Stegostoma tigrinum: one gene and its partners. The protein of the gene in region 1 interacts with the protein of each later gene in a pairwise test. Links are inferred from orthologs where the notes say so. Each region holds a gene or a part of one and is shown on either strand. Other genes may lie near its edges. The genes, in order: fhl3a, fosl2, gcm2 and zinc finger protein 512B.

The links.
Region 2: the proteins of fhl3a (region 1) and fosl2 interact in binary tests that used the Homo sapiens proteins (3 or more experiments, as listed by UniProt). The two-hybrid records come from large-scale screens. The link is inferred for Stegostoma tigrinum from reciprocal best matches to the Homo sapiens genes FHL3 and FOSL2.
Region 3: the proteins of fhl3a (region 1) and gcm2 interact in binary tests that used the Homo sapiens proteins (3 or more experiments, as listed by UniProt). The link is inferred for Stegostoma tigrinum from reciprocal best matches to the Homo sapiens genes FHL3 and GCM2.
Region 4: the proteins of fhl3a (region 1) and zinc finger protein 512B interact in binary tests that used the Homo sapiens proteins (3 or more experiments, as listed by UniProt). The two-hybrid records come from large-scale screens. The link is inferred for Stegostoma tigrinum from reciprocal best matches to the Homo sapiens genes FHL3 and ZNF512B.

Annotation. Positions count from the first base shown.
Region 1 is NC_081377.1:18,276,221-18,284,230, forward strand, and holds the start of fhl3a (four and a half LIM domains protein 3), read right to left. Parts: upstream 3,010-8,010; 5' UTR 2,793-3,009; intron 1-2,792. UniProt on the Homo sapiens protein: Recruited by SOX15 to FOXK1 promoters where it acts as a transcriptional coactivator of FOXK1.
Region 2 is NC_081357.1:18,018,422-18,025,873, reverse strand, and holds the start of fosl2 (fos-related antigen 2), read right to left. Parts: upstream 3,010-7,452; 5' UTR 2,882-3,009; exon of another isoform or gene 2,658-2,881; 5' UTR 2,388-2,657; coding exon 2,268-2,387; intron 1,915-2,267; exon of another isoform or gene 1,802-1,914; intron 1,177-1,801; exon of another isoform or gene 1,114-1,176; intron 1-1,113.
Region 3 is NC_081355.1:41,452,326-41,459,167, forward strand, and holds the start of gcm2 (chorion-specific transcription factor GCMb), read right to left. Parts: upstream 3,001-6,842; 5' UTR 2,773-3,000; coding exon 2,680-2,772; intron 1,783-2,679; coding exon 1,530-1,782; intron 1-1,529. UniProt on the Homo sapiens protein: Transcription factor that binds specific sequences on gene promoters and activate their transcription. Through the regulation of gene transcription, may play a role in parathyroid gland development.
Region 4 is NC_081372.1:31,173,621-31,181,314, forward strand, and holds the start of zinc finger protein 512B, read right to left. Parts: upstream 3,005-7,694; 5' UTR 2,838-3,004; coding exon 2,828-2,837; exon of another isoform or gene 2,744-2,827; intron 2,636-2,743; exon of another isoform or gene 1,971-2,635; intron 1-1,970. UniProt on the Homo sapiens protein: Involved in transcriptional regulation by repressing gene expression. Associates with the nucleosome remodeling and histone deacetylase (NuRD) complex, which promotes transcriptional repression by histone deacetylation and nucleosome remodeling.

The DNA of each region.
Region 1 (8,010 bases):
GTAATTTACAAGAATGGTTTCAGGATTGAGAAACTTTGGTTGGGAGCATAGATGGAAGAAGTTGGGATTGACCTCCTTAGAGAGAAGAAGGTTAAGAGATCCGATTGAAGTTCCCAAAATAATGAACAGACTCGATACAGTAGATAGGAAGAAACTGTTTCGGCTTGTAAAAGGAAGAAAAACAAGGGGCATAGGTTTAAAATGATTTGTAAAAGATTGTTATGCAAATAAAAACACTTCCGCACAGTGAGTAGTTAGCGTCTGGAATATAGCCAGGAAGTGGTGGGGGCAGGTTCAATTGATTCAAAACAGAAATTGCTGGAGAAACTCAGCAGGTCTAAAGGATATTTGGATAGAAATAATGTCCAAAGGGCATAGGAAAAAAGGAGGAAATTGGGAGCAGACAATGGATGCTCATTTTAAGAGCCAGTGCAGACATGATGGGCTGAATGACCTCTTTCCGTGCTGTGACATTTCTGAGATTCTGTGAAGGGTTACTCTGGTGACTTGGGCATAAAGTCTAAGTTGCCAATTGAGAATAATCCTGTCAGAGATACCATCTTGCAGAACAAGGGTTAAAATTAGGCTCTGCTTCTGTTCTAAGGTGGGCATAAGAGATTCCATGGCAACAACCTTGGTGTCCTTGCCACTGTTTCACATCACAAGAAAAACATCAGCCAGTCGTTATTACATTGCTGTTAATGAGGAGTCTTTTAAGTGCAAGTTGGTTGTTTGGCTAAACTTCAAATGTATGTCCATCTGTAAAATACTTTGGGATGACCTGAGATTATAAATAGCGCTATACAAATGTTTGTCTCTCACCTGACAGCTCACGTACAGAGTTGTAAAACTGTCAGATTTAGTTAATTGGTATTCTGAAAATTAGGGTGTAACTTTTGTCAGGCTAGCGAAGGAGCAGATCACCTGAGCATTCCCTCATCATTCAAGGGCAAAACAAGAATAATCTATAGTGCATTATCCATCTCAGGAAGAGTGTTAATGGGGGCCAGTGTAGTTCACCTCAGTGTTTAAAGGTTATAGAGGGAAAAATAATCTTGGTTCTAATACTCATCCACTACAGTCCCGGGTCACATTCCCGACCCGCGGACTAATGTTAATTGACCACTTGCGTATAATGCTGTGGAAAACTAGGGGAAACAGACACTTGTTTGAAAAGTGACACAGCAAGTATACATTTCCAGTCAGAATCTTTGATTACCAAAAATAATTGCCATTTGAAGCCTCTAAATTTACATGGAAATCTATGTATTGCCGAATATGTCAAACGTCTCAAACTATTTTATATATAAATCCCTTTTGGAACTTCAGTGAATATTATTATCTAGATATTAAAACGGTGATTTTTTTAAAAAAATCCTGAATTGTAGTACCGAGCCGTTCAAGCAGTTTAATCCAAACTTGAAATTTGGGGGTGGGGTTTCTTTTCCTGGTGGAATATTGATTGAACTGGTATCAAAAGCCCAAACTGTCAATGCATTTTTTTCGCCCATTCATAGTAAACGTGTGTGTTAACTTGGCGCTGGAGGAAATTATATTTAAACCAGGGTCTACCAGAGACCCCACCGAAATCACACATTTTTCACATTGCTCTGAAACTAGTTACAGTTCGTTTGTACTCTCTACATTTTCCGTGGGAAGGTGACTCCCAGAGTATGTGCTACACTCAAGAGAGAGGTCTGCTTTAAGAAATTAATTATTTCCAAACCACACTGTCTTGCTTTTATTATGGCTCCGTCAATTCCCACATCTTCTCGCCATCCCGATCCACTCAGCAGATCTTTTTCCACTTAAAACTGGAAGTAATTGTGTTCCAATTTGAAAGCTTGAAACGTCAAGCGAAATTGACAAATTCCTCCTTTGCGTCGCAAACGTTTCAGATTGCATGGATAATTCTAGATTGCATCATAGCAGGGCTTCGCCATTCATTAAAATCCACAGATTTACTGAAACGTCTAAACTGCGGAGTTTCTTTGGACCTCAAGCGATTAGCTTTTGACAATGTCTTTGTATCAAATTGCGCCAAACCGCTGAGGAAAAGGGAATGTCCAGGATGAATGCTGGGCTGGTAACCTAATACGAAATAGCAGGATAACGGGAGCGAGGGGGAGAAGCACTTTCAGGACTCGTAAAACTGTTGAAAGTCGATGTATATCGCTTCACTTTCAAAAGAAAAACTCTGCAATTTGCAAAGCGACTCCCCTCTTTAGAACTTGTCTCTGGAGTCCCACAGCTCACATTTACTCTGTAAATGTCAATCAGTGGGTGTCTCAGTAACAGTGGGCGCATGTGCCCTGATTAAGGCAGTTATACTGCAGTTTTCCTCAAACTGTAGCAGTTCAGTTCTGTAGTGTCTGAGTGTTGATGACCTGAGACGCTTAATGGCATTTTGCTTAAAATACGACCAATTGCCCTGAAGCGCCAAAAGGGTAATTGCAGTGGTCAGGAACAGCAAAAAGACAGGCGACCCTTTAAGTGCAGTTGTAAACTGTACATTCCACATAAAGTCGAAGAGAAGCTGCCAACAAAATGTGCAGTTTCTTCTCCGCTTTAATCTACGCATAACGACGGCCTCAATGACTTTACATAGCCAGGGGAACCACACTGTAGCAGGGTATAATCTGCAGGGCAAAGCACATTCAGGGAGCTTTAGAAACACTACCTAAAACACATAACTCCAGGTGGTTTCCTAACAGAGAGTCAGAAGCTGCACGAGCGGCGCTAGTAACAGTAGATTGTCAGATATCAAGAGAGTAAAAAAATTGGACACTTACCAACTGTATTTTCAATGAACTCAGGTCAGTGATCAAAGCACTGCTTTAACATAAATGCTTCAAAGGCACACTGTGCTGAAAAGCTTTGTCTTGCTTTTTCCTGCTTGGGAAGTGGTTAGAGTTCTCCTGACACAGTCTGCAAGAGAAGCAGGCTTGGCTCTGACGGCTCTGGCAGAACAGAGGGAAGATTAGGGGCCCAACAAGTACAGGAAGTGACTCACGGGATCCCGCCCTGAAAACCCTTGTATCCAAGCCAAGGTTATTAGCAAACAACTAACCATCTCTGAGCCTCCTTCCACTGACTGACGCCGCGAGGTGTGACTAAATGGCACCTTGGACCTATCGATCACTACACACTGATAACACCATCAACACCTACTCAATCCGCCCATTATAACAAAGTGATCATATCAAAGAGGCAACTGCTGCAGCCTGGTCCAAGATAAACGAAAGAAAGGTGAATGCTACTTCCTCCTGAAGAGAATCGCAGCTGGAAAGATCTGGTGCCAACCTTCCCGAGAACTAAATTATGTGTTTTATCCCCTGGAACCCTGGTGATTTATTCCTATTCAACACAAAATGCAGTAGCTTTTGTACCTAGGGCACACGTAACCTATTTCAATATGAATGAAGTCCTAATGATGTCACTAATTTACACTATGAACCAGCAGAGGCAACGAGTGCTTCTATACAAGTAAGATGAGTGAAATCTGAAATTCAAACGGAAAATGGTTAGAAATGTACAAGTTTGTCAGGAAGATTGAACAAGACTAAGATCTGGGAGCACATCAGCAAGATCCAGTCAGGATCCCTGCCTGATGAGTCAGAAGCATATCCGGTTTCTTCAGACGCTGACCAACTGGTTGTGCCCTTTCATTTTGTAAAACATTTCAAATATTTAATAACAGTTTACATACTTTACATGGAGTAAAGGAAACACAGATGTAACTGGCAAAAATGAGCTCCAAACCAAACAAGCCCCATTGCATTGATTTAAAATAGAGACGTAGAAATTTGGCCAATTCTAAGCTTGGTGCATTGCCCTGTGCCCAAATGATATAATCCCAAGGCAACCTAAACCCCAGGCATCAGGCTAACAGTGCCAATGAAGATGAAACCGAGCCAGTTCTCCAACATTGCAGTGACCCTCAGGTAAATGATGGCAGATCTGGTTGGGTAAAGAAATGCCAGGATCAATTACTGTTACATGTATCAGAGATAATGGGAACTGCAGATGCTGGAGAATTCCAAGATAATAAAATGTGAGGCTGGATGAACACAGCAGGCCAAGCAGCATCTCAGGAGCACAAAAGCTGACGTTTCGGGCCTGGACCCTTCATCAGAGAGGGGGATGGGGAGAGGGAACTGGAATAAATAGGGAGAGAGGGGGAGGCGGACCGAAGATGGAGAGTAAAGAAGATAGGTGGAGAGAGTATAGGTGGGGAGGTAGGGAGGGGATAGGTCAGTCCAGGGAAGACGGACAGGTCAAGGAGGTGGGATGAGGTTAGTAGGTAGATGGGGGTGCGGCTTGGGGTGGGAGGAAGGGATGGGTGAGAGGAAGAACCGGTTAGGGAGGCAGAGACAGGTTGGACTGGTTTTGGGATGCAGTGGGTGGGGGGGAAGAGCTGGGCTGGTTGTGTGGTGCAGTGGGGGGAGGGGACGAACTGGGCTGGTTTTGGGATGTGGTGGGGGAAGGGGAGATTTTGAAACTGGTGAAGTCCACATTGATACCATTAGGCTGCAGGGTTCCCAGGCGGAATATGAGTTGCTGTTTCTGCAACCTTCGGGTGGCATCATTGTGGCAGTGCAGGAGGCCCATGATGGACATGTCATCTAGAGAATGGGAGGGTGAGTGGAAATGGTTTGCGACTGGGAGGTGCAGTTGTTTGTTGCGAACTGAGCGGAGGTGTTCTGCAAAGCAGTCTCCAAGCCTCCGCTTGGTTTCCCCAATGTAGAGGAAGCCGCACCGGGTACAGTGGATGCAGTATACCACATTGGCAGATGTGCAGGTGAACCTCTGCTTAATGTGGAATGTCATCTTGGGGCCTGGGATAGGGGTGAGGGAGGAGGTGTGGGGGCAAGTGTAGCATTTCCTGCGGTTGCAGGGGAAGGTGCCGGGTGTGGTGGGGTTGGAGGGCAGTGTGGAGCGAACAAGGGAGTCACGGAGAGAGTGGTCTCTCCGGAAAGCAACTGTTACATGTATGTTGGGAGGAGGGAGTGGTTGCTGGGGCATGTTGAGAGGTTAGGTTTTATATTGGTGGAGAGTGCCAAAGGTGAGTGACAAGGAGGCTAGTGTTGGAGGCCGAGGCGAATCTGAAGTGTGCCGAGTGGAAAACTTTCAAAATAAAAGGCGATTGGTGGTGGTGGGAGGGGGGCGTGGGTGGAGCTCTAGGTATAAAGAAAATTAGACTCTGTGTTCAAGCAAATAAATTTGTATAAATAAATTTGGTTGTATGCAGCCCCAGGAGCTGATTTTACTGAATGTAGGCAGAACTGGGCAAAGCAACCTGCTGTGGGAATTTCAAACAGAGTGAGCACCACACCAACCCCCAGCTTGCTTTGAAATTAATTGCCCGTTTCAAGCATATGCCCTGAACACATTTGCCTCACCAATCTGCCTGGAACAGACATGCACACACGTTTCCAGCTGCTAAATTAGAGATTGACTGAGCTAGTTTTGGCTTGGAAAATGGGTATCATATGGTTGAATTCATCAGTCAGTATGCCCAAGATTATGTCACAAATCATAAATCCCACATCAGATGTCGTGTGTTGCTACAAATCAAAACAATCTTAAATATTTAATATTTCTAAGTTGCTTCCTGAAACTGAAAAATACATCCAAAAGTTGCATGATCTTGTGAATTATCAATTTACCTGTTCCAAGCACTCATTTCCTATCTCCTATCCTGGCTGTATTCCACGCCACTAAGTACCTCCCTGGCCCATTTTCCCAAACATTTCTTGATCTGTATAAAAAAACGGAAGAACTGCGGATGCAGGAAGGGGCAGCCAACCTGAAATGTTAATTCTGTTTGTTCCTTCACAGATGCTGCCAGACCTGCTGAGCTTTTCCAGCAAGTTCTGTTTTATTTCTTGATCTGTCCTGGCACTGCTTTCCAAAGAGATTTCCAAACTATTTACATTCCCACCCAGAGTGAGTGTTTCCCAACTGTAGTTATTCATTCTGAGATCTTGATATTCACTAGTCATCCCAATGTGCACTCTTCCTAGTGTGGTGGCTTACTCTTCCACAACAACTGAGGGCCCTCCTTAATGCACACAGTCTCTTTTCACCTATCAAAGAACTTGTACCTTCCTGCCAACACTCAATCTGACCACAGTTCCATCAATAGCTTTCTTCAGAATTCCCAAACCCCAGTACTCGTGTGCAATTGATCTCCAAAACTCTCCCAACTGCCCACACTTCCTGAATCCATCCACCGCCCATCCTCATTGTATCACAACTATTCGTATACACTGTGTCTTCCCTCCTGGTGCATGTAGGTCTTGCCATTTTCCCAATGATTGCCTCTATGAGCCAAGACCCTCCCTCGAGGCAAAGCTGAGCATCCCAGACACCCTGTCTAGTCAGTACTCCATTCACACCAGTGTTCCCTTCGCCGCTGCCCACCCTCAGTCATGTCTCAGCTTGGTGTCTTTCTGGCTGCAGTCTCAAGTCTCTCCACCACCCCCTAGTGGTGTATTGCAATGGTAGCAAGCTGCTAGCCTCAGATTCGCTGACAATTCTGGACACGCTGGATATTTGTGCCAGAGGAGATAATTATTGGAGATATTGGCTGAAATAATTCGATGAAGGCTGCTACCCTGTCATCAAGTCACCCTGTATTTACATGTGCATAGTACATGAGACTGGCCCAACTAGTTCAGAGCCAACTCCTAGAGTGAGTAGAATCCATAATACTCCTGTTTATTTATTTGCTTTCTTTCTTTTTTTTCTCCCCTAAGAACATTAGGTGACCATTTTGCTCTTTTTGACAAACAAAGCACTCATTTTTCTCGTGTCTTCTTTTGTACAAATTGTGCACCTTATATTGTTTGGTTGTGAATTTTTGGAGGACATGCAACAGCCTTTCTACTGACAGAGGATCCAGCAACAGGAACGTCAGGTGAAAACTCTCTCTCATGAAAGGTGTGTTTTCTGCTTGTTTCTTGGTGTCTTGTAGCCCATTCTGTCTGGACAGTACAGAGTGAAAAGGCAAGGGAGTTTACAATGATGAGTTTTCTTCCATTCATAAACTGTACATAGATCAAGTGTGTGTTGATGGTATCCTGTTACCAAGTCACCCCTTACTTACATGCACATAGTACAAGACACTGACCCAGCCTGTTCAAATTCATGTCCTAGAGTGAGTAGAACTCCTGACACTCCTGTTTATATCTGTCAGCCAGGACTCCCTGATTGGCCCAGATTTACAGCCCCAATCAGGGAACACATTCTACAAGACCCACCCAGTTGACTGCATTCCAATTACTACACTGGCTAGGTACTACATTCAGTTGCCTCCCCCTCAACATCCTACTGAATGACAAAGTTTTCCCAACAGGCCTCCAACCAGTGGTCTCAACCCGCATGGATTACATTTAAATTATGCTCAATATTTCCACTTTTGAGAAAGAATTTAAATAAAGGCCACCAATATAAAATAGCCACCAAGACATCTAGAAGAAACCGCAATACCCAAAGAATGGTAAGAATGTGGAACTTGCTACCACATGAGCAGTTGAAACAAATAGCATACTACCGATGGTTTTAAGTGAGAACTACTCAAGCATTTGAGGAAGAAATGTATCATTTACGGCTGTAGATTTAGATGAGGAATTGGAGGAGGCTCAAATTGACTATAAACGTATGGACTATTTGCACCAAATGGCCTCTTTCTGAGCCATATATACTGTGAACTTCCATGTAAATCACATTGTTATGGGGTGTGGTTTCTAGTTATAGCTATTGAGCATGTGCCAAAACAGCTATGTCACAGAGATAATGGGAACTGCAGATACTGGAGAATCCGAGATAACAAAGTGTGGAGCTGGATGAACACAGCAGGCCAAGCAGCATCTTATGAGACACAGAATGTTGGAGAAACTCAGCAGGTCTGGCAGCATCTGTAGAGAGAGAAACAGTTAATGTTTTGAGTCTGGTCTGACACTTCTTCAGAACTATGTCATAAAGATGTTAGATCACAGGTTTGGA
Region 2 (7,452 bases), on another chromosome or scaffold:
CTGTTCCTTTTCCCTACTGTGGACACAGGGTGCTGACTTAAGGAGTTTGGCAAAAGAACTGAAGGAAACATGAAAATATTTTTGGTTTCAAAAAAAATGCAGCCAGTGGTTAGGATCTGGAATGCATTGCCTGAGAGTGTGGTGGAGGCAGATTTAACTGTGGCTTTCAACAGCAAGTAGGGTAAGCATCTTAAAACATTCACTAGTCTGTGGGGATAGGGCAGACCCTGATAGGCTGAACAACCTCCTGGTCTCCTGTGATTTCTTTGGAAGGAGGAAAACTGGCAAGTATTATAGAAGCCTATCAATTATCCTTTAGGCGTGAGCTCAAAATCTGTTATTGCAAGGTCATGAGGCCAAAACATCCAGACAGAAAGTTAGAGATTCTGGAAGGAAATGTAACTTTAAAGAAATCCTAGCTAGCCTTGGCCACAAGGACCCCGTAATAGCGCCTATTTGAGCCCAGGGAGATGGAGACATAAAGCATGGACAGATTGTGCACTATGTATCACTGGGGTACTAGAAATTTTCCATGTGTAAAAAATGCTATAAAAGCTAGAAATTTTCTAATCCGGTATGGTTTCAAGCCACAAGCTGCGAGAGCCAACAAAACACCCACTGTGCACAAAAAAGGAAGGAGGTGGGAGAGGGAGCTGTGGGGTGTGGTCACAAAGTTGCCTGTATAGCTGCATATTTACACTAAGTCAACAACTTAAACACACAACTGACAGAGCTCAGTCCAGGGAGCAGGATGCAAAGTTGGGAGGCCCAGGAACGGCAAGTAAGGGTGGGGCTGAGTGTACCACCGCGCCACTCTCCCCCGCCCCCCCCCCCCATACCAAGCGCCTCTCCACCTCACCAACCCTGCAAATGAAGGCAGTCGCTACCAAATATTAACAGGAATTCCAGTTAAGAACGGGGATAAATCTGAGGAGCAGGAGGAATGCTGCCAAGCGCTACCCGGAAAAGATTTGGAAATTGAGATTTCGTGGAGGGGGGGGGAATAAAAATCTTATTTTGGCTTGTGGATCGTAGGAAGGAAAGGGAAGAGGAGGGGAGGGCAGGGGGAGCGAGGTAAAGATAACATGTGAAAGCCCCTTCGTTACACTTTACCGTGCTGGCTCTGAGGCTGGGTAATGATTTCCGCTGCTGAGCTGCAGCAGAAGAGTCCGGAGACTTTTCTTTTGAAAACACACACAGTTACGAAACCGATTTTGTAACTCCAGCCAATTCTTGACTTGCGCAATTTCTTCATCATTTCTTCATCAACCTTAGAGCCAGGAACAGCGTGCGAGAAAGATTGCATAAAACAAATAAGGGCGGCCAGAAATCAGGGCTAGAGTTACAATGACAGCTCTCTAGAATTCCCTGATCTGGGAAAGAAATGGACTTTTCCCCTCAAATCTAATTACAGTCCTTATAAACTAGAGGCTTGATTTTTTTTTTAAATGGAAATGCAGACACTCCGATATTTGGGAAGGTGCTTCCTTCACAAGTTGTTTCCTATTAACGACATTTGGACCAACTTTGCGTTAGCCCGGTTAAAACCAAATGCTGGTTTTCAGGCAAGTTGAGGATGTTTAATATTGGAAACACTGATAGCGTCTGAATGCCATTCCCTGCCCTTTGTCAAGTTTCACACGAAATCTGAACAGCAAGAATAACAGGATTGGGGAGGGAGGGCTACTGTTGGAGCAGAGGGGGGGGGGGGACGAGAGCGAATGGGGCGTTATAATTTACAAACTAAAGAGAGAAAGTGAAAAATTCCTTCCAGCGTTAGCCCGTGACTGAAGCTACTCACTAATGTCAAAGGTGTCACTTCTTCACGTCAAACATGACCTGCAGACACTCAGCGGGAGAAAGGAGACCATCTGACGCCGCTCCGCTCCAACAACCTGGTGAATCACACTAGCGCCAGGCGCTTTAGCAAGCCTCGCCACGACACAGTGTGGTAAACACAGAGCGCCAGCTCTGACAGACAACGGCCGACTGGGAGCACGAAGCAACACACAAGCCATGAGTCCAGGGCAAGCGGGAGGGGGGCCGAAAGGAGGACTCTTGCACACAGATACACACCAGACATCACCGGGTATGGCCAGCGACAGGTTATGAAAACTCCAATATAGTGTGAAAAAATACAAAATTATTAAACCTGAGTGCGGTGGCGAACTTTGTGGGTGGGGGGGGGGAAACCCCAAAATTCGTACATAAAATTTATTTTTGGGGGGTTCAAATGTGTATGCGTGAGGAACCAGCCCAGCCCTTACCTGAGAAGCGCTGTTGAAATTGCCACCGCTCCCGGAGCTGCTGAACACGCTGTCCTGGTGAGCTGGAGACAAGCTGCTGCGGGACGATGAATCGTAATTCACTGGATACTCCTGGTACATGGTCTCCCCCCCACCCCCCCGGGAAAACAGGAAGACGGGGGGTTTCTTTTCCTCTCCCACTTTTTAAAGCTTGGACCGACCGTCCAATCTCTCCCAGGTACAGTCACTCCGATAATATTTTAACCAAATGTCTCAAAAATAAAATTCCAAAAATAAACAAAAACAAACAAAAAAATTTGCAAGTCCGTTTTTTTTTAAAAAAGACAAACTTTTTTCCTCAGTTTTTCCACGCTACTGTCATTCACCACGCGTTAAAACAAGTCTTCCTCTCTGCAACAGAGAAAAAAAATCCATAAAACTTCCTGGATTCGCTCTCCACACCAGCCCTCCTCTTTCTAAGTTGAAACTTTAATTAATATTTTATAAAAAAGAGTCACTTTTTTTTTCCTTTTCGTACACTTTTCGGCCCCCCCTTTAGCGGGTCTGATCGCTTTTTTTTCCCCGCAGTGACTAATTTTTTTTCGCCTTTGCACCGCCCCACCTCCTCTCCTCACCAATCCTCCCTCCCCTCACTCTATTAGTCTCCGCGTTTGCTGCCTTCTCCTCGCCCGAGCGTTGATGAGTCAGTGTTCTGGTATTAAACTCTGCTCTTTTTATTTCCAGCACTCCCGCGGCTCAGGATTCACGTCAAAACTGCCTGGTTCCGCCCAGCCCTCTCTCAGACTCTCTGGGAGGGAGGGAGCGAGCCCAGAGATAGCTTCTTCCACACTACCACCCTCCCTGTGACATTCAGCAATTCACAGCCTCCCCTCCCCACTGCACCTCGAAGCTTAATTTCCACTTTGACCTTTTGTTTTCATATGCCCGTCCATAGAATTTTTTTTATTGTTTAAAGGAACTTATTTGTAAACCAACAGTTGTGACATAAGGATCTTGTGTGAGGTCTGTATCTCTCTCTCTCTCTATGAGTAAGATTTGGCTGGTGGTAGCGTCCATTGACGTAGCGCGTTGCCTAAAAATGGATATTTGCGTCAAATGATGCGAGGTGTGTGTTTCCTCGGTTAACGTGACGTCTGTGTGGAGGGATTCCCTTTTCGTGTTGTTGGACAGAGATTCTATCGCCCCTCCACACACTCACACACCTACCCGCCGCCCCCCCACTTCTCTCTGAGAATAAAGCCTCAAGGGCGCGTTCCTGCCCACAATGATTTAGCTGCCTTGCACCGCCTACTTCCCCCTCTCCAAATATTTTACCTTCCCCTCCCCTCCCCGCAAAAGTCAAAGACCCCACCGCCCGTCCCTGTCCATTGTAGCTGTCGCTGGCTCCTCCCTCTTAGCGTTGCCGGATCCACGTCCAGAGATCGAGGGAAAGAGGAGACAGGAAATCGTGTGCCCACGGCAGAAGCTTACACCTTCGCGCGGTTCTGATAGATATCGCGCCCACAAGCGAGGGGAAAGGGTCGCTAGACATACACACAAGCTGGGAGCCACCAAGACGCTTTCTCTCCCACAAAACATGCCTCGTCGCCACAGAAATTTGAAGATACTTTTTTTATTTAAAGGATTTCTGACGGCTTCATTCAATTTTCCAAATCCCGAGTGTGTTTCAGAGTCTTTTACTGGAATAAAACGGTCACAAGTATCAGATTGAGTATGCAATAGGGAAGCGAAGTGAAATGCGTTTTGTCTACTGGGTTCTATGCAAATTTAGTTCGAAGTTGTGTATCTGGCGGCATCACCTTCCAGTCCACTAGGATAGCGCCCCCCCAACACGCAGACAAACACACACGAGTCCAAAAGAGTTTAGCCCAAACGTGATCGTTTCGCCCCACAGTGTAAACAGTTATCGCTGCACCGGGCAGGAAGCTTTCCTGCTCCTGAGATGCTGCTTGGCCGGCGGCGTTCATCCAGCTCCACGCATTGTTATCTCGAAGTGACACACTGCACGTACTGTACAGGATGGTGGGGAGAAGGGGGCGGTTCACACTCCCTGGCCTGTTTCCATGTGGAAAAAATCATGCAAAGGCTCTCATGTGTTGGAAACCCACATTTATTTTTACCATTTCTTGGTGCTAAAGGTTAAAATATAGTGAGCGATATTTTCCATTTCTTAAAAAAGACGCAACCCTGCGCCAGAGCTGAACTATTTCTAAACCTTGTGTTGATGCAAAACCTGCCCGAAATGTCTCTAACTCTTGCATTCATGGGCCTGAAGCAGAGTGACCTTATTCCTATGGAGGCGGGGGCAGGGGGGCAGTTAGGAGATGATGAGTTAGATATTGGGTTTTTTTTTAAAGACTAGTTTTAGTCGGAGGAAATGTAAAGGATACTGTCTGCCCGTTTTCCAGTAGTGGCACGGCTTCTGTAACAGTACTATTTGAAGACATGCGAATGGGTCATGCAGAACAGTTCGGGCAGCTGCCCCGTTTCGTTGCATTTAAGGGGAAGCCTGAGGGAGGAAGTAGGAATCGGGGGAGGGGTAGTGCTACTGAATTCCAGCTCGACTCATTTCCGAAGAAGGGTCCAGAGCCCAAACGTCAGCTTTCCGGCACCTCTGATGCTGCTTGGCCTGCTGTGTTCATCCAGCTCTACACCTTGTTATCTCCGTCCTATACCCTCTCATTTTGGCCGGCGGGGTTGGGGGAGTGGAAAGAGGTGTATGCCATGTGGCGCCGTGATAAAGTCACTGCCTCTGAACAAGGTAGATCTGGGTTCAAGTCCCTGCCTGCTCCCGAGGTACGTAGTAACACCTCTGATCGGGGAAAATATCCACATCTTTGAGAAACTAACGTCTTAGATTTAAAATTGACAACTTATCAGGCATTAGTTACTACTTATGGAAAACAGTTCTTGCCCCTTCTGTATTATTGTGCTTCTCACTTTCCGTCCTAAAAGGGATAACAAGGTGTAGAGCTGGATGAATACAGCAGGCCAGGCAGCATCAGAGGAGCAGGAAAGCTGACATTTCAGGTCAGACCCGAAACGTCAGCCTTCCTGCTCCTCTGCTGCTGCTCGGCCTGCTGTGTTCATCCAGCTCCACACCTTGTAATCTCAGATTCTCCAGTATCGGCAGTTCCTACTATCTCCGTCCTAAAAGGGTTGTCCTTCATGTTTTTTTGACTATGCCCCCAACGCTAAACTCTCCAGTTAGCAGCTTCTCTTCATCTGCCCAGCCTGCTCATTGTACAATCACTCATTAGCCTTATAAATTTCAAGGAAAATAATCCTAGTTTGTGTAACCATGTTAACTGGAGGACTCTCATCTGGCTGACATGGCATTCAGTTAAACGGACTGTTTCTGTGTTGGATATTGTGATGGGCTGGGACAACATTCCAGTAGCTGTACTGAAGCCTTGGACCACACGAACTCCTGCCACCAACCAAGGTGTTCCAGTACAGCTACAAGATGAGTATATATATGGGAGAGAAATGGTGGAATGTTTCCACTGGTTGGAGTCACACCTGGCACATAGAAAAATGCTGATGAGAGATAATGGGAACTGCAGATGCTGGAGAATCCAAGATAACAAAGTGTGAAGCTGGATGAACACAGCAGGGCAAGCAGCATCTCAGGAGCACAAAAGCTGACGTTTCGGGCCTAGACCCTTCATCGGGTCTAGGCCTGAAAGGTCAGCATTTGTGGTCCTAAGATGCTGCTTGGCCTGCGGTGTTCATCCAGCTTCACATTTTGTTAACATAGAAAGATGCTTGTGGTTGTTGGACATCGGTCATCTCAACTCCAGGGTGTCTCCGCAGGAGCTCCTCAGGGTAGAATCCAAGGCTCAACCACCTTAATCTGCTTCATCAATGACTTCCCTTACACATAGGATTTCCCCATTAATTGCATGATACTCAGTACCAATCACAACTCCTCAGACACTGAAGCAGTTCATATCAGTGAGGCTCAGATCACATTGATAAATAGCAAGTAGTACTTGTATCACACAAGTGCCAGGCAGTAACCATCCTCTTCAAGGGAGGATGTAATATCTTAAATCTTCTCTTGACTTTCAGTAGCATTACCATTGCTGAATCCACTGCTATCAACATCCTGGGGGCTTCCATTGACCAACTATATAAATACTGTGGCTACAAAGGCAGGTTAGAAAATGGAATTCTGTGGCAAGTAACTCATTTTCTGACTTTCCATCACCTATTCCATCATCAATAAAGCAAAAGTCAAGAGTGTGATAAAATACTTTACATTTACTTGGACTCCTTTCTACTATTCTCAAGTAGCTTAACATCAGCCTGGGAGAAAAAAAAAACACTTCTTGTCACCCTAGCTATTCCCTGCAGTGTTCCCTTTAACATTGTGTATATTGCTGACAATGTGCATCATTTCTGCAATAACTCATTGAGATTCCTCGGACAGCACCTTCCAAACCTGTGACTCTACCATGTAAAAGGACAATGGCAACAGACACATGGGGTCAGCACCATTTGGAAGGCCCAAGCCATACACCAAACTGACATCAAAACATATTGAGATAACAAGGTGTGGAGCTGGATGAACACAGCAGGCCAAGCAGCATCTTAGGAGCTGACATTTCAGGCCTAGACCCTTCATCAGAAAATGTTGGCTTTCCTGCTCCTAAGATGCTGCTTGGCCTGCTGTGTTCATCATGCTCCACACCTTGTTATCTCGGATTGTTCAGCATCTGCAGTTCCTATTATCTCTTTGAAATATATTGATATACCTTCATTGTCACTAGGTTAAACCACTGGAACAATCTTCCTGTCAATAACAGGACCCTGTGTACTAATGTATGTAGTTTTCAGTGTGTGCATGTGGATCACACTGTGAACTTGACTGATGATACAAAATTGGTTGTTAATGTAGTTCCTCAAATACTCTGGGGGATCTTGATCAGCTGGGCCCATGGGCCAGGGTGTGGCAGATGGAGTTTAATTTAGATAAATATGAGGGGCTGCATTTTGGAAAGGCAAATCAGGGCAGGACTTACACATTTAATGGTAGGATCCTGGGGTGTTGCTGAACAAAGGGGCCTTGGAGTGCAGGTTCATTGCTGTTTGAAAGTGGGAGCTGCAGGTAGAAAAATATAGTGAAAAAGGTATTTGGTATGTTTGTCTTTATTGGTCGGTGCATTGAATATAGAAATTG
Region 3 (6,842 bases), on another chromosome or scaffold:
CCCTGTTTCTCACTTGCTGACAGAAGAATTACACGCAATTGTTCGATTTTCAATACAATGTGCATCCATCAGCTACCCATCCTATTCCACATGATTAAAACTTTATAACAGAACAATGGTATCATGAAATATTAAATGTTCTACTTAAAGTTCCTGTGGATGTCAGGAAATTTGGCTCCTGGTCCTCTGTAGTCATGTTAGAAATATCAAACCACTTTTGATTGTCTCTGGCTTAAGTGCCACCAACGAGGTACAAGTTCTTAAAGAGACATGAGAAGTTAGGGCTTCTGATCACTGGATCTGAAAAGATTAAGTGTAAAATGACAGAGCTCTTCCAAGTTATCAAAAATTGTAACATAATATATTGTGACAGATTTATTGTACTGCTTGGTGAAACAGTAATGAATGATCACAGTTTTAATTTAATCATACATAATTACAATAAAGGGCTGGAATTGGGTACCTGCTTGAAAAATGGTAATATTTAATTGCATGCAAATTAGCAGCTTTAGTTTAGATTGTGTTGAGAAAATTATATCTCTGAGCTGTAATACATTCTTTAATTCTGTAGTGATCACAATTTAAACAAAATCAAAATTAGATTGAATAGGTTGGCTCATTCCCAGAAAAGTTTCAATATACTCAGCATTTTGTGAGACTTACATGCAGAAATACATACAGAAAGGGGATAATATTAATTACATAAATTTCCTTTGATTAGTTTATTTTGAAGAAAGAATCTAAAAATTTCACTGTGGTTCTTTTAGGGGGCATCTGTAATCCAACGTATGGAGCAAGTACTTTTGGAAAGTGAAGAAATGCCTCAAACTATAGAAAACTGAGCACCAAATCAAAAATCACTCCAAGTCCACCTGCTGAGAAGTTAAGATTTTAGAGCAGAGAAAGAGAACTCTTAAAAAAAAACAAGCTTCCTTCATAACGTATTTTATACTAATATATTTTAGAAGATTGTATTGCAGCACATCCAGTGAGTTGTCAAATAATTGTTTTTTATAAGCAGATTCAGTCCCATCTCCATCCCTATCTGATGTTTTACCTTTCCCTCCTCCCGTCAAACCTTTGTTTTGATTTCAAATAGGCCCAATTGTTCTTTGGTGAGTGGGATATTTGAGTAATATTTTACTATCTAGAAGGGCAAGACAGCAGATGTACAGGAGCACCACAGTTCCCTTCCAAGCTACAGACCATACTGGCTTGAAACTACATGATTGTCTGTCAAAATCCTGGAGCTCTCATCCAAACAGCAATATAGGTGGTCCTAAAGCAAAAGAACAGCAGCGGTTAAAGAAATGAGCTCACTGCTTTCTCTTGGGCAATTAGGGAATGGGCAATATTTGATGGCCTTGCCAGCTGCCCAAAACCTTTGAGTGAATATTTACAAGGTACATACCGGCAGCCATTCTCTTTCCTGATGCAAATCGGGTTCAATCTGTTAGAAACAAGCAGTCTCCTATAAATAAAGTTGTATTAATCCAACAATATACAATACCAGACTGCGAGTTACTCACTCTGCTGTTTTTGACGAGCTTTGTCACAGATGGCTGGTCTGAGCTGTAATTTGCCACCATTAGGTAAGGTGCAGTTTCTGGCGCAGATCACTACTCCGAGACAGGACTTTTTCAGGATTTGGCAGTTGTGGTTGTTGGTGTTCCTCATGGCCCAACCACTAAGGTGCCTTTGCGCATTTTTATCATCTGCAGTGTAAATATATCGTACATAGCCATCTGTCCATTCCTGGAACGTATCAAACTGCTTTATATCCTGCGAGTTACACACAAATATTGACTTATTTTCAATTGTATAAGGCAGCAGAGAAACAATATTACATGAGAAAAGCAAACGTGACCCTTTTCTAGGCCCCATACCACACGCATATTATGAGGCCAAATTTAGACCATTATTAGATCAATTTTAGATCTATGTCTTACTTATAAATCTGCAATCTCTCTCTAAAGTAAATCCAAACGATCAAATTGAAATTGGTTTACATGTGCATTGCATGTGTAAAATTTATCGCAAATTTTATTAAATTGCATTTGTTGCCATTCAGAACATCCGAATCCAACCCAAAATTGTCGACTTTCTTTTGAAATACATTAGATTTTAAACTATTAAGCACTTCCAAAGGAACGAGCTAAAATCACCAGCAAATGGGCGTTAATATTAAGGTGCAGGGACAGAATCATTTGCTGAAATCCACAGGTATGGACCTTTCAATGAAGGGTCATTAGACCCGAAATATTGTCTCTGGTTTCGCTCCACAGATGCTGCCAGACCTACTGAGTTTCTCCAGCTATTTCTGTTTTTGTTTCAGGTCTGGTTAAAATATTGTCGTCCTCAGAACGACTCTGATCCTGTCTCTACCCCATAAATTATTTATTTCAAAATGTTTCCAATTTAACTTTTGAAATTGAATTGAAAACATTAAAATAATGTTCATTGAGATGAATACAATATGCACAATTTTTTTTTCAAATGGAAGAAGCACAAAAATAAGCAAGACTGTTCCAAATTGATCTTTCCAGCCTGCTCGACCAACTTCAAGGATTTCAAAATTCGTTTGAGGAACGACATTTGACTATAACTTTTACCATTCTGCTAGAAATATCACATTTGAGCGCGTTCTCCTACAAGACAAATGTTTTACAAAAAAGTTACCTGGGGCAGTTTGGGGTCATTAATGTCCCAGGTGATTTTCATCCCGTAAGAACACACGCAGTCGGCATCTTGGTACTGGTCCCCTTTAGACATCTTGTCTCTGGGCCAGGAATCAGCTCCGCTCAACGACGCAAGGTGACATAGGCTGGCGTAGGACTCCACTAGCTCTCCGGTTCATGTACTGCGCAAAATAAACGGCAGAGTGAAGGAATCGTCAAAGATGCTGGAGGTATGAATTAATAGAGGCAAAACATACACGGAATGAAAAAAAAAGTTTGACAGGAAGTGCTCGTGTTCACGGAAACCAACTTAGGCATTTGTGTCCCATTTGATGCCGCGAGGAGTGCAACGCGCCGCTTTGCGGCTCTTTATCTGAAACCTTAAAAGACGTTCTGAACACTCCCTACATCCCCGGTTAACCTCGCGCTGATTCAGGATACACGCACTTTTTGACACAGTTGAATAGGAGTTGAACACCAGCACTAGCTTTCATGTCAGGTGAACCGTGTTGGTGACCTACGAAGATAGCCTGTTCTAATCTGCACGTAGACATTCAGTCCAACATGACCCGCCTGCCAGTGTCTCAAATACAGCAGCCTCCAAAGACATAATCAGCCGCAAATTGAACAGGAATTAACCACAAATTCAAGGTTAGATCCCACATCAAAACAAAGTCAGCAGAGATCTTGAAATGACCATGTAAAAACATTTGTAATAAACATTTGTAAACTTGCCTTATTGGAATTCTGATACCATACGATTCCTTAACAACTGAAGAAAAACGTTATCAGCACGAAGGTGATCACGTCCTACCAAACCGTCTGTCTAATGTGGGCAATACACAGGTGTTATGATGTGTGTAGAACATATGGCGAATTTTAGACGAACGTTTAGATCCTGTGAAAGTATCAATGAAAATGAATGTCCGTTCATTTCACCATAGATCAAAGTGAGCTTCGAGGTGTGTAGCTGATTGTTGGGGCGTTTCAAGTTGTTTTGGAGGTTATTTTGAACTGGAGATGACACAATGCATCCTAATCATCGAGTACTTGTATTTTTGTTACTTGTGAATCTGAGTTCGGTGAGAGGGATAAGACTCGAGATGCAGTTTGATACAAGCTAGAAAGGCAAGAAATGGGGTTATTTCCACAGTTAAACGTTTACCTTCGTTGGAAATTTTACAAGGTTGGATATTGATTTTTAGTTCAAACATTGCGATTTAAAAAAGCGTGAATTAAATTTCTGCAAATTGCTTGTCAACTGAAAACTAGTATTTTAAAAATCGGGTGCATGACAATTAGAATATTTAAATAATATCAATCGGGGTCAAGCGAAGATGAGGTGGAAAACATTCCTCATGCACGACGTTGTGCATTTTGAAAGTAAAGGGTATTTTGCCCTTTCCTTTATTTATATAACAACATTGCTAAACACTGCTTCACTTTGTCTCATTAAAGAGGAACCTTTCCGAGTGTAATGAATCAAACAGAGAAATAGGCAAACCCGTTGTCTAATTGTTTTGTGTAAACCTCGTAGATTTTTCAGTTTGGGATTCAGAAACCTGTCTGACGTTGTAGCCAAACTTGTTCCTACACTTGATTCTGGCAGAGCATTTATTAATTAGTCTGCATATCAGAATGAAACCATGGTCTATTCACGATTTCTTTAGCCATTAGACAGCACTGCCTGGCCAGTTAGGTCAGTTGGCTGAACAACTGGTTTGTGATGTAGAGTGATGCTAACCCCAACAATGTCGGTTCCATTCCTACACCAGCTGAAGTTACCACAAAGGAGTCTCCTCTCCAACCCATGTCAAATCACCACTAGTGGTTTCCAATGACAGAGCAGGACTACGGCGACTCTATTTTTAAAAACGGAACATTGAAGTTACATTTAAAATATATGAGAAAAATATGCCAGTTAGAATGAGAGGAAACACTGAATATTCTGCAGTTAGAACTGAATCGAATGATCGTATTCAACGAAATCGATACAAATATTCGTCACGAAGGTTAATCAACCCCGACCCCAGCTCACGTCCCACTAGCACGAAAAAGTTGACCAGCAAAAGGAAGTCAGAGCGCTAACGTCTGAACATTTCATGATCTGAGCTCTCTACTGGTCTAATCGCGCATTTCCTTCATAGAAATCTGCATACTTGACATAAAAATAAATAATTATTTACCTCAAAATACTGATTATTAATAAATAGATACCAAACAAAATAACAACCAGTACTCACACCAAATTGAACCAAAGTTGAACGCAAGATAAAATCAATATTGGCCAAGAAATTTAAACCAGTAGTGAGTACATGAACGCACTCCCCGACCCCACCCCGTTACTGGAACTAAATTCCTAAAAGATAAGATCTCCCCTAGTTTAGCCACACAATGGAACACAGCACACGATCTTAACGTATTTTGGATAATATTTTCATTGGGAAGTGTTTTTTTTAAATTTCCATTTGCCAAATGCCGCAAACATCCAAGCTCTTCAGGAATCTAACCATTTGTTTAACTCTAATTCGGAAGTGCACTAGGTTGGAAAACACCGTTTTTCTTCTTCGTCGCATTAGTTAAATAGCATCGAATCAAGTTGACAAAACAATAGCAAAACCAGGAAGGCTTCTTGAAACAAAGAAAAAGCTCCTTCAAAGAAATGTTCAAGGAAGTGATGTAAATTTGATATAAAGTAAACTGCCACCCTGCTCAAACCTGAGGTAGATGTGAATATTAAGAATTATTAATAATTCTTAAAGATTGATGCCCCATACTTTCAAGAGTTAGGAATTCTGTGGTATTTTAAATTCTGGAGCAATCAAATTAGCCGATAAATGAAGCAGCAATGAGCTTTTAAGAACTTATGGCAGTTACCGAAGAGCTAAGTAAAGGCAGTTTCAAACCACACAGTTACAAACGAAGTGAATACCTCAGAAATACAAATTGAACACACCACTATCTTAGTAATGTCGTATCAAACGAATAGGGGGGAAAATATCAAGATTTTACCGAACGTGAAATGTTTGAAGAACTGAATTGTGGCGACAAAATTGTAACTGGCAACATGAAAAAGGAGGTTTAAGAATTCCATTAAAAGCCTTCAAAATTATTTCGAAATAAAATCGTTCTGTATTTCAATTTTAGCATAAAGAATTGAGTCACATCAGTTGGTTAATTGCGGTATTTATTTTTAGAACATAGAACATAGAACATTACAGCGCAGTACAGGCCCTTCGGCCCTCGATGTTGTGCCGACCTGTCATACCGATCTCAAGCCCATCTAACCTACACTATTCCATGTACGTCCATATGCTTGTCCAATGACGACTTAAATGTACCTGAAGTTGGCGAATCTACTACCGTTGCAGGCACAGCGTTCCGTTGCCTTACTACTCTCTGAGTAAAGAAACTACCACTGACATCTGTCCTATATCTTTCACCCCTCAATTTAAAGCTATGCTCCCTCGTGATCGCCCTCACCATCCTAGGAAAAAGGCTCTCCCTATCCACCCTATTTAACCCTCTGATTATTTTCTATGTTTCAATTAAGTCACTTCTCAACCTTCTTCTCTCTAATGAAAACAGCCTCAAGTCCCTCAGCCTTTCCTCGTAAGACCTTCCCTCCATACCAGGCAACATCCTAGTAAATCTCCTCTGCACCCTTTCCAAAGCTTCCACATCCTTCTTATAATGCGGTGACCAGAACTGTACACAATACTCCAAGTGCGGCCGCACCAGAGTTTTGTACAGCTTCACCATAACCTCTTGGTTCTGGAACTCAATCCCTCTATTGATAAAAGCTAAAACACTGTACGCCTTCTTAACAGCCCTGTCAACCTGGGTAGCAACTTTCAAGGATCTGTGTACATGGACACCGAGATCTCTCTGCTCATATACACTGCTAAGAATCTTACCATTAGCCCTGTACTTTGCCTTCCGGTTACTCCTACCAAAGTGCATCACCTCATACTTGTCTGCATTAAACTCCATTTGCCACCTCTCAGCGGGGCTCTGCAGCTTATCTATGTCTCTCTGCAACCTACAGAATCCTTCGTCACTATCCACAACTCCACCAACCTTAGTGTCATCTGCAAATTTACTAACCCATCCTTCTACGCCCTCATCCAGGTCATTTATAAAAATGACAAACAGCAGTGGACC
Region 4 (7,694 bases), on another chromosome or scaffold:
GGTTCGGTCCAGCTGAAGATGGTTGATGAGTATGGTAAGCGTTTGTGGAGGAGCTGAGAATGTTAGCTCGGGAGGTGGAGAAATTGATGATGCTGGTGGAGGGGAGCTGATGATGTTATGCAGGATTGCAGGAACGTGGATGTTGGGGTGGAGAAACTGTCAAAGAATTTAGGCTGATAGTGAAAAATTACACATTATCTGAACAATATTTGTTAATTGGATACTAACCGTTGATGTGAAAAGTATCTGTAAAAAGTGACAAGCAAAGGGTTTTACTGTGAAATAATGTCAGATTTTATGATGATGTTATAAAACGTCCTACAGTTGGAGATAGCTGTCCTGAGTAACTGTTACTGGTTTTGTTAAGAAAATGTAATAATATTGACTCAATATTTATTTAAACCAAAAAGCATTTAAAATCTTGAAGAATAGTCAGTTAAGAGCACATGCAACTTAATGTGTATAAATTCAACATTTTCAGTGGAGTTTGGAAACATCAGTGTTTTTGTAGTTGATGTTGTGTATACATAATTCCAAAAGTCATTTTACAAAATGCTGTATACTGTTTGTAATTCTGAAGCTCATAGAATAACGTAACAAAGGTCGCTTGGATATAGAATTAGATAAGGGCCAGGAAGCATAGTTTTGTGGTGAATGGTCAATTTTCATGTCTGCAGGCAGGAATACGCTCCAGGGGTCAATATTAGAAACATGTTTGTTTTTGAATATAATTTCACAGGATAATTTCAAAATCTGCAGTTGACATCAAATTCAGAAATTTAGCAGCAAGTGAAGAGAAGAAAAACTGAATTCAGAAGAAAAAACACACTGGTCAAATGGGTAGACAAGGCAAATGTCAGATAAAGAACTACAAATTGGTCTATTTTGGTTACAAGAATAAGAAGCAATATTAAATTATTAAACAATTTTAAAGGTGATGCAGAAATAGAGACATCTTTGAAAGTGACAGAATATGTCAAAGCAGGCTTTTGTTTTTGAAGCTATAGGGAACCTTTGATATTCCTGTTAGAGGAAAAAAAAGAGTAAAAACAAGGAAGGTTTGCCATACATTTTTTAATTTCATTTTAAAGAAAAACATTGGTCAGACCTCAGAGTCTGGTCACCACACTAAGGATGTCAAGGTCTTGGTGAGAAGACTCCAGAAATACATAAGTAATTTACTATAATGGAACAAGCAAGGAGAATTTTCACTTGCGTGGAAAGACTAGAGAAGCTTGTTTTCTCCTTTTGAATAGCAAAAGTTGGCACATTTCACTGAAGTATGCAAATTTATGAATAACTTTGAAGGAGTGAAAAAAGATAAAAATTGTTTAGGGAAGGTTGAACAACTAGAGGACCTAGATATAGGTGACTGTCAAAAGCAAGTATGATGAATTAGTTTATACATAGCAACTTGTTTTGATCTCGAATACATGCCTCAAAATGGTGGAGTAGTTTTACGAGTAGCTTTCTAAAAGGCATTGGCTAAATAAATGTAGGAGGAAAATTATAGGGAAGAGCAGAGGAGAGAGACTATTTTAGATAGCTTTATAAGGGGGTCAGTACTGGCAATAATGGGCTGAATTGCCATTTGTGCTGTATTGTTCTATGATTGTGCAGAACAGTAACTTTGCTTTGAAACATCCCAAGTGCTATGCAAGGCACACATAAATGCCTGTCATTCTCACTTCACAGACACAATGCTGCCTCTCATCAACTCAAAGCTGTCACCACCTGCTTCAACTTCTGTCATGATTATCAACCACAACTTCTGTTCCTACAAACACCAAAGCACCTCTAGCCCTTTAACTCAATATGTCAGTGCCTTCACCTTGTCATTTATCCACCTGCAACAGACTGAGACCCCTCACATTCAGTTTTTTTTTTAATCCTCTCTACTGTTCTAGACTTGATTCATTCTTTAATAATCTTCCTTTTTTGGATAATGAATTGAGATTAATTGTGGGCACCTGTTTGGCAAAGTCACTAATCGCACGACCTTAGAGCATAGATGGCCACTTAGTCTGTGATGCTTGAACCAATCATGCGAAGGTGTTAACGAATTTGATCGCATCGCTCTCCACTCCGTCCGCCACACCACCCGTTCCCGCAACAGTCTGCTACTTAGTCCTCTCCACGTAGATATCGAACGTTGCCTAAAAGTTTCGATCTAACCTGTGTCCATCACGCCATCAGTTGACATATTCCAGATCTGAACAACCCTCTGTGTGGAAGAAGTCTCATCTTTCCTTCAGTTCTCTGGCTGATTGCCAGAGGAATCAGTATCTCCTTCTCCAGTCCAGCGAGACCTTCCATAATTTAATTTTGAACACCTCTATTCAATCCGTGTTTCACCCGAGTGAGCAGGTTTGCCTTTTAACAGCGCTGTTTTCGGGGCACTGGCTTTACAATCTGGACTCTGGCACACCCTCGGAATGAAATCCTGGCCAGACCAAAACAAGACCGCAACTGGAGTGCTTGGCTTTCCCTTCCACCACAGCTCGATGTATACATGTAAAGAACTCCATCCAAGTACAAGACATGAAGGCAAAACCTTATGCCCCATGAGACTCGCATCGAATAGACAGATGCCCATTTGGTGGGATGTTCCAGCACTGATGATGGTGTGGGCCGGGGGGCGTGGGGTGCAAGCTGGGCACGAGCGCGCGCTCCCAAACCACCCACCACCGCGGTCGGCGGGCGCGCGCCAGCCCTCAACATGGAATCCGGGCGTGCACGCGCGCCAGGCAGCGCGCTCCCAGTTCAAAAAAAAGGAGAAAACCCCACAAGAAGTTCTGACGTTCTCCCCCGGGCTCGAACCTCTCACCTTCCTTCATTAACACACAAAACGCCGACTTCCTCCTTCAACTCGCCAGCACACACACACTGTAACGATCGCAAACGCTGCAACATTGTTTGTCCAGCTCGACAGCAAGATGAGCTTGCGGTAGCACTGAGGCAAAATGGCGACATTTTAAAGAAGCAGGCAAACTCAGCTGGCCGCGTAAAAAAGAGGCATAAAAACATTTTGCATCACCTGAAGTTGCCCCGATCGATCGACAATCGCAAGAGTAAAAACAAAGAAAAAGGTGGAAAATACGAGGCGGCGGCCAAAGGGAAGGGAGACTCTCACAAAATCGGGCATCTTACCTTAAAATTTCTGGTTAGATTATTATCTTCAGGGCCTTACAGTAGACTCTATTCCTGGGTCATGCGCGATTCCACTTGTCCTTTGACAGTTGTACAGTGAGGAGGTAAGTTTCAACTCTCGCGTTACTATTTAGTGCTGCACGATTTTCAAGTTCCAGCACAAGCAGCAAATCTGCATTTTCAACGCTGCAAATGTCTGCTTCGTGCCTGCCAAGAACAGACGACAGATTACATACTTGCATCGAATATCATTGCACAAATAGGATCCGCGACCCAAGTCGAAACTACAGAAGAACTGCCTCCACCTCCTTCACAAATGTAACTTCGTGTTTATGTAATACTATCTGCAGCAGTCTTTATTTTGTCCAAACTCGACTAAAACTATTTTTTTCCAAATATAAACAAAAATTTGCTTCAACAACAAGGCCCTTAGTATCTCAAAATATTTTACGAGACGAGATTTGACAACGCCTACCGACAACTCGAGACCAGCCCAATTTATGTCCAAGATAAAAGTAGAAAAATCTCTTCGGGGCATAAAGTGCTTTGTGTTTTCATGTTTAGTCTGAACAACCACTTTTGAAAATCATGTCTTATTTTGAACTAAAAACAAAGGTGAGAGACTTGACAGTAATTTGAAAATTAACGTGCCATATTCGACGTGATAAAGAACCACGAAGTAATATCCGGGCCTGAAAACGGTGCAGTTAACTTTACATCTAGTCAGTTATTAGCATTCTACTTACATTACAGAACAATTGTGTTGAAATCGTCTTGGAATAAGTTAATATATAACTAATGCGTGGTTTATTTTTGTGATCTGTGTAAAATTGTTACTGTCGACATGGGCCAAGTAACATTTATTCGCAAAGGTGGACAGCAATTCAAACAGTGGGGAAACAATTTATAATTCATAACGCGATTTAACAAGGTAAAATGTCTCAGTTTGGGATGCTGAAAATCACGTGGAAAAGGAATTGTGCGAAGTCTTTTTTAAAGTGCATAAAAAGTCAAAAGAACAGCTGAGTTCATTGAGAGGTTTCGTAACTGACAAATCAATATTCAGGACAAAAAAGGGAACAATTCTTACACCGTAAGTTTTTTTTGGGTGTAAGCAAAATCTAAGGGCGTAAGCTACGTATCACTTTGATGGGATGATAGATCGTTCCTATTGCTAGAGCAATTTGCTGCTCACAATACTTTCAAAAGCACGCAGTTGGATGCGGTCAATCGCAAGAGATATATTAGACAAGTGCAGAACGCTTTCACCCTAGACTATCAGCGTAAGATAAGAAGTGTCGACAAACTCAAGGTTTTTTTTCCTTGTTCACCGAGAGTTTGCGTGCTGTTCAGGAGTATGGCAGATGAAACTTTTCATCGCTTACACTTCTCGCTTCAATAGAAGTGAAATTTAAAATTTTAAAATCATTCAGGACGGAAAGTGGATAAATTATCTAGTCACAAAAGAAAAATAAATGTTCGTACTGGAAGCCTGAATCAATAACAATATGTGCTGGAAGTATCAGGTCTGAAGCATCTGTGGAGACGAACATGAGATTTGTCAGAACTGAATGATTGAAGCTCAAATCATCACATAGAAATCAGGCAATACATAAAATGCAATATTAAAACCAAGAAAATGAAGGACCTGTACAAAATAAATGGTGTACATTTGATAAGTTTCCATTACAATAATACAGTATGTGTCAAATTCCAGAACATTGTGCACATTCTACTAGAAAATGTTTGTCTTCAGTTGGTGCATTTGGACAAGAACACAAAGCAAATTGGGTCTCCCAAGTTAAATTTGTACATTTTGATTCAGTATGATTTATTATAGTCATATAGTGAGATACAGTGGAAAGTATTATTTTGTTTGCTAAGCAGACAAATCATAGCTTACGTATGTAATCAGAGTAATAGAACAGGATACAGAATTATAGTGTTATAGCTGCAGAGAAGGTGCGGAGAAAGATCAACTCTAATATATGAGAGGTCTGTTCATAAATCTGATAAAAGTGGGGAAGAAGTTGTTCTTAAATGTGTTGGTATGCATTTTCAAACTTTTATATCTTTTGTCTGATGGTAGAGGGTGGAAGAGACTAAAACAGGGGTGGAATGGGTCTTTCATTATGTTGGCTGCTTTCCCAAGGTAGCATGAAGTGTAGACAGAGAAATTACTCTAATTTCTTGTGGTCTTGGGCAAAACAGTTGCCATACCAAACAGTGATTCATCCAGATAGGATGCTTTCTATGGTGCATCTATAAAAATTGGTAAAAGTCATTGTAGACATGCCAAATGTCCATGGCATTCTGAGGAAGTAAAAGCATTGATGTGCCTTCTCGTCCGTAGCATCAACATGGATGGACCAGAATAGATCATTGGTGACACATACACCAAGAAACTTGAAACTCTCGACCACCTCCACCTCAGCACCATTGATACAGACAGGGGTGCATCCTCCACTCCACTTGCTGAAGTTGATGAACAACTCATATTGCTAACATCCCAAGAGAGAATGTTGTCTTTGCATCATGCCACTAAGCTGGCTGCCCCTTTCGTGTACTCTGATCTGATCTACAGAGGTGGCATCATCAGCAGATTTGTAAGTGAAGTTAGAGGTGAATTTGGCTACACAGTATTTCTATGACAAATCTTGATCCGGTTCATAATGGAAACTGTCCCTGTAAACATTTTGTAAAAACAATACTGTTTTCTCCAGATAACAAAGTGTGGAGCTGGATGAACACAGCAGGCCAAGCAGCATCTTAGGAGCACAAAAGCTGACGTTTCAAGCCTAGACCCTTAATCAGAAAAGGGGGATGGGGAGAAGGTTCTGAAATAAATAGGGAGAGAGGGGGAGGCGGATCGAAGATGGATAGTGGAGAGGATAGGTGGAGAGGAGACAGACAAGTTAAGGGGGGGGGGGGCGAGGATGGAGCCTGTAGAGGTGAGTATCCATCCCCGCCCCTTTAACTTGCCTGTCTCCTCTCCAATTTTGATCTGCCTCCCCCCTCCCTATTTATTTCAAAAGCCTCTCCCCATCCCCCTTTTCTGATGAAGGTTCTAGGCCCGAAACGTCAGCTTTTGTGCTCCTAAGATGCTGCTTGGCCTGCTGTGTTCATCCAGCTCCACACTTTGTTATCGCGATTCTCCAGCATCTGCAGTTCCCGTCATCTGATGCCCTTTTCTCCAGTTTTGCCGATGCAATTACAGCACAAGTTTCCTTGTGTAGGTTCTTTTTATAAATATGATCACAGAACTCTATAAAAGTGTAATACAGATATGGAGTGTAAATTGATGTTACATTTTAATGCATAAAACACTCATGAGAAAAATGTTACACATTGATGACCAGAATCATGTCATACAAACACTGTCGAGGCTTGACATCACTAATGGTCCAATAATGATTATCATTCCATTTTACTTATGAAGCCACAAGGCGGTTATTGTCACATAAATAGGAAAATTGTGGCTTCAATTAGGCTGCTGTATTGAGTCTCCCTTTAAATTCCACAATGAGAGGTTGCTGACATTACCTATCAGACAGCAGACTTTTTGTTGCTACCAAATGTTAGATTCACCTGACTTTGGCAATGAGATGTCCAATAATGCAAGGAGCTCAAAGCCAAGAAACCTAGCAGCTGCTCTCTAACTTAGCTTATCTCCTACTCACTTGGGTGGCCTGCCAATCAGTCCAGTTAGCTTGGGTATCTAAAGCTACCAGATGTTGACAAAACCTGACTCATAGACGAGTAATGTCAAAATAACAAATTAAAATTCAATCAAACCTCCTTTGCACATCAGGAGTCTGAACTCCAAATTCTCCAGGCAGCTGGCAGCAGGCCAAATGCAAACATCAGGTGACTGCAAATTGGTGATGATAAATCTCAGATTAATCAAGTTCTTACTGGCATTGTCCCACAATTTGATGAACACTAAATGAACACTCTTGTTTTTTGAGCCTACAGAGTTTAGTCAATGAGACTAATAAAAATAACACATTGCTCCAATTCAGACATTCAGCCCAAGTTTACAGTGTAGCACATTGTTGCAACAGGACATGGGCAAAATTTTTTCCTTTCTCAAATATTGCTAAAGACATTGCAAAAACAGCTAAAATCATGTCTTCCATTTCCCAGTAATACTATCTTGCAGCTTGATGAGGACTTTAAAAAATCTTTCAAATAATGATTTCTTAACTTTTTTTTATTTTCTTGGAGTATGTATTTTTGATGACACAATGAATGATGTTCACTTTGAGTCATTACAGTTTAGGCTGCAAAAGTCCGGCTGTTTAAGCTCTTGTGTTTTGTTTGTTTTAAAAAATACCTTTATTCATAAAATTTATGGAACAACATCACCAAACTACTTATGTGTGGCATTATGAAAAGTGCAACAAAGTTTGAATAATTTGAGCATATTAAATGCACTGAGTTGTCACAAAAGCAAATAACCACAGGTCATATATAATTAATTGCAGTTATTCTATTCATTTATTCTAATTGTAAAATTTTGTAGAGCAATTGTATCCAGTTGT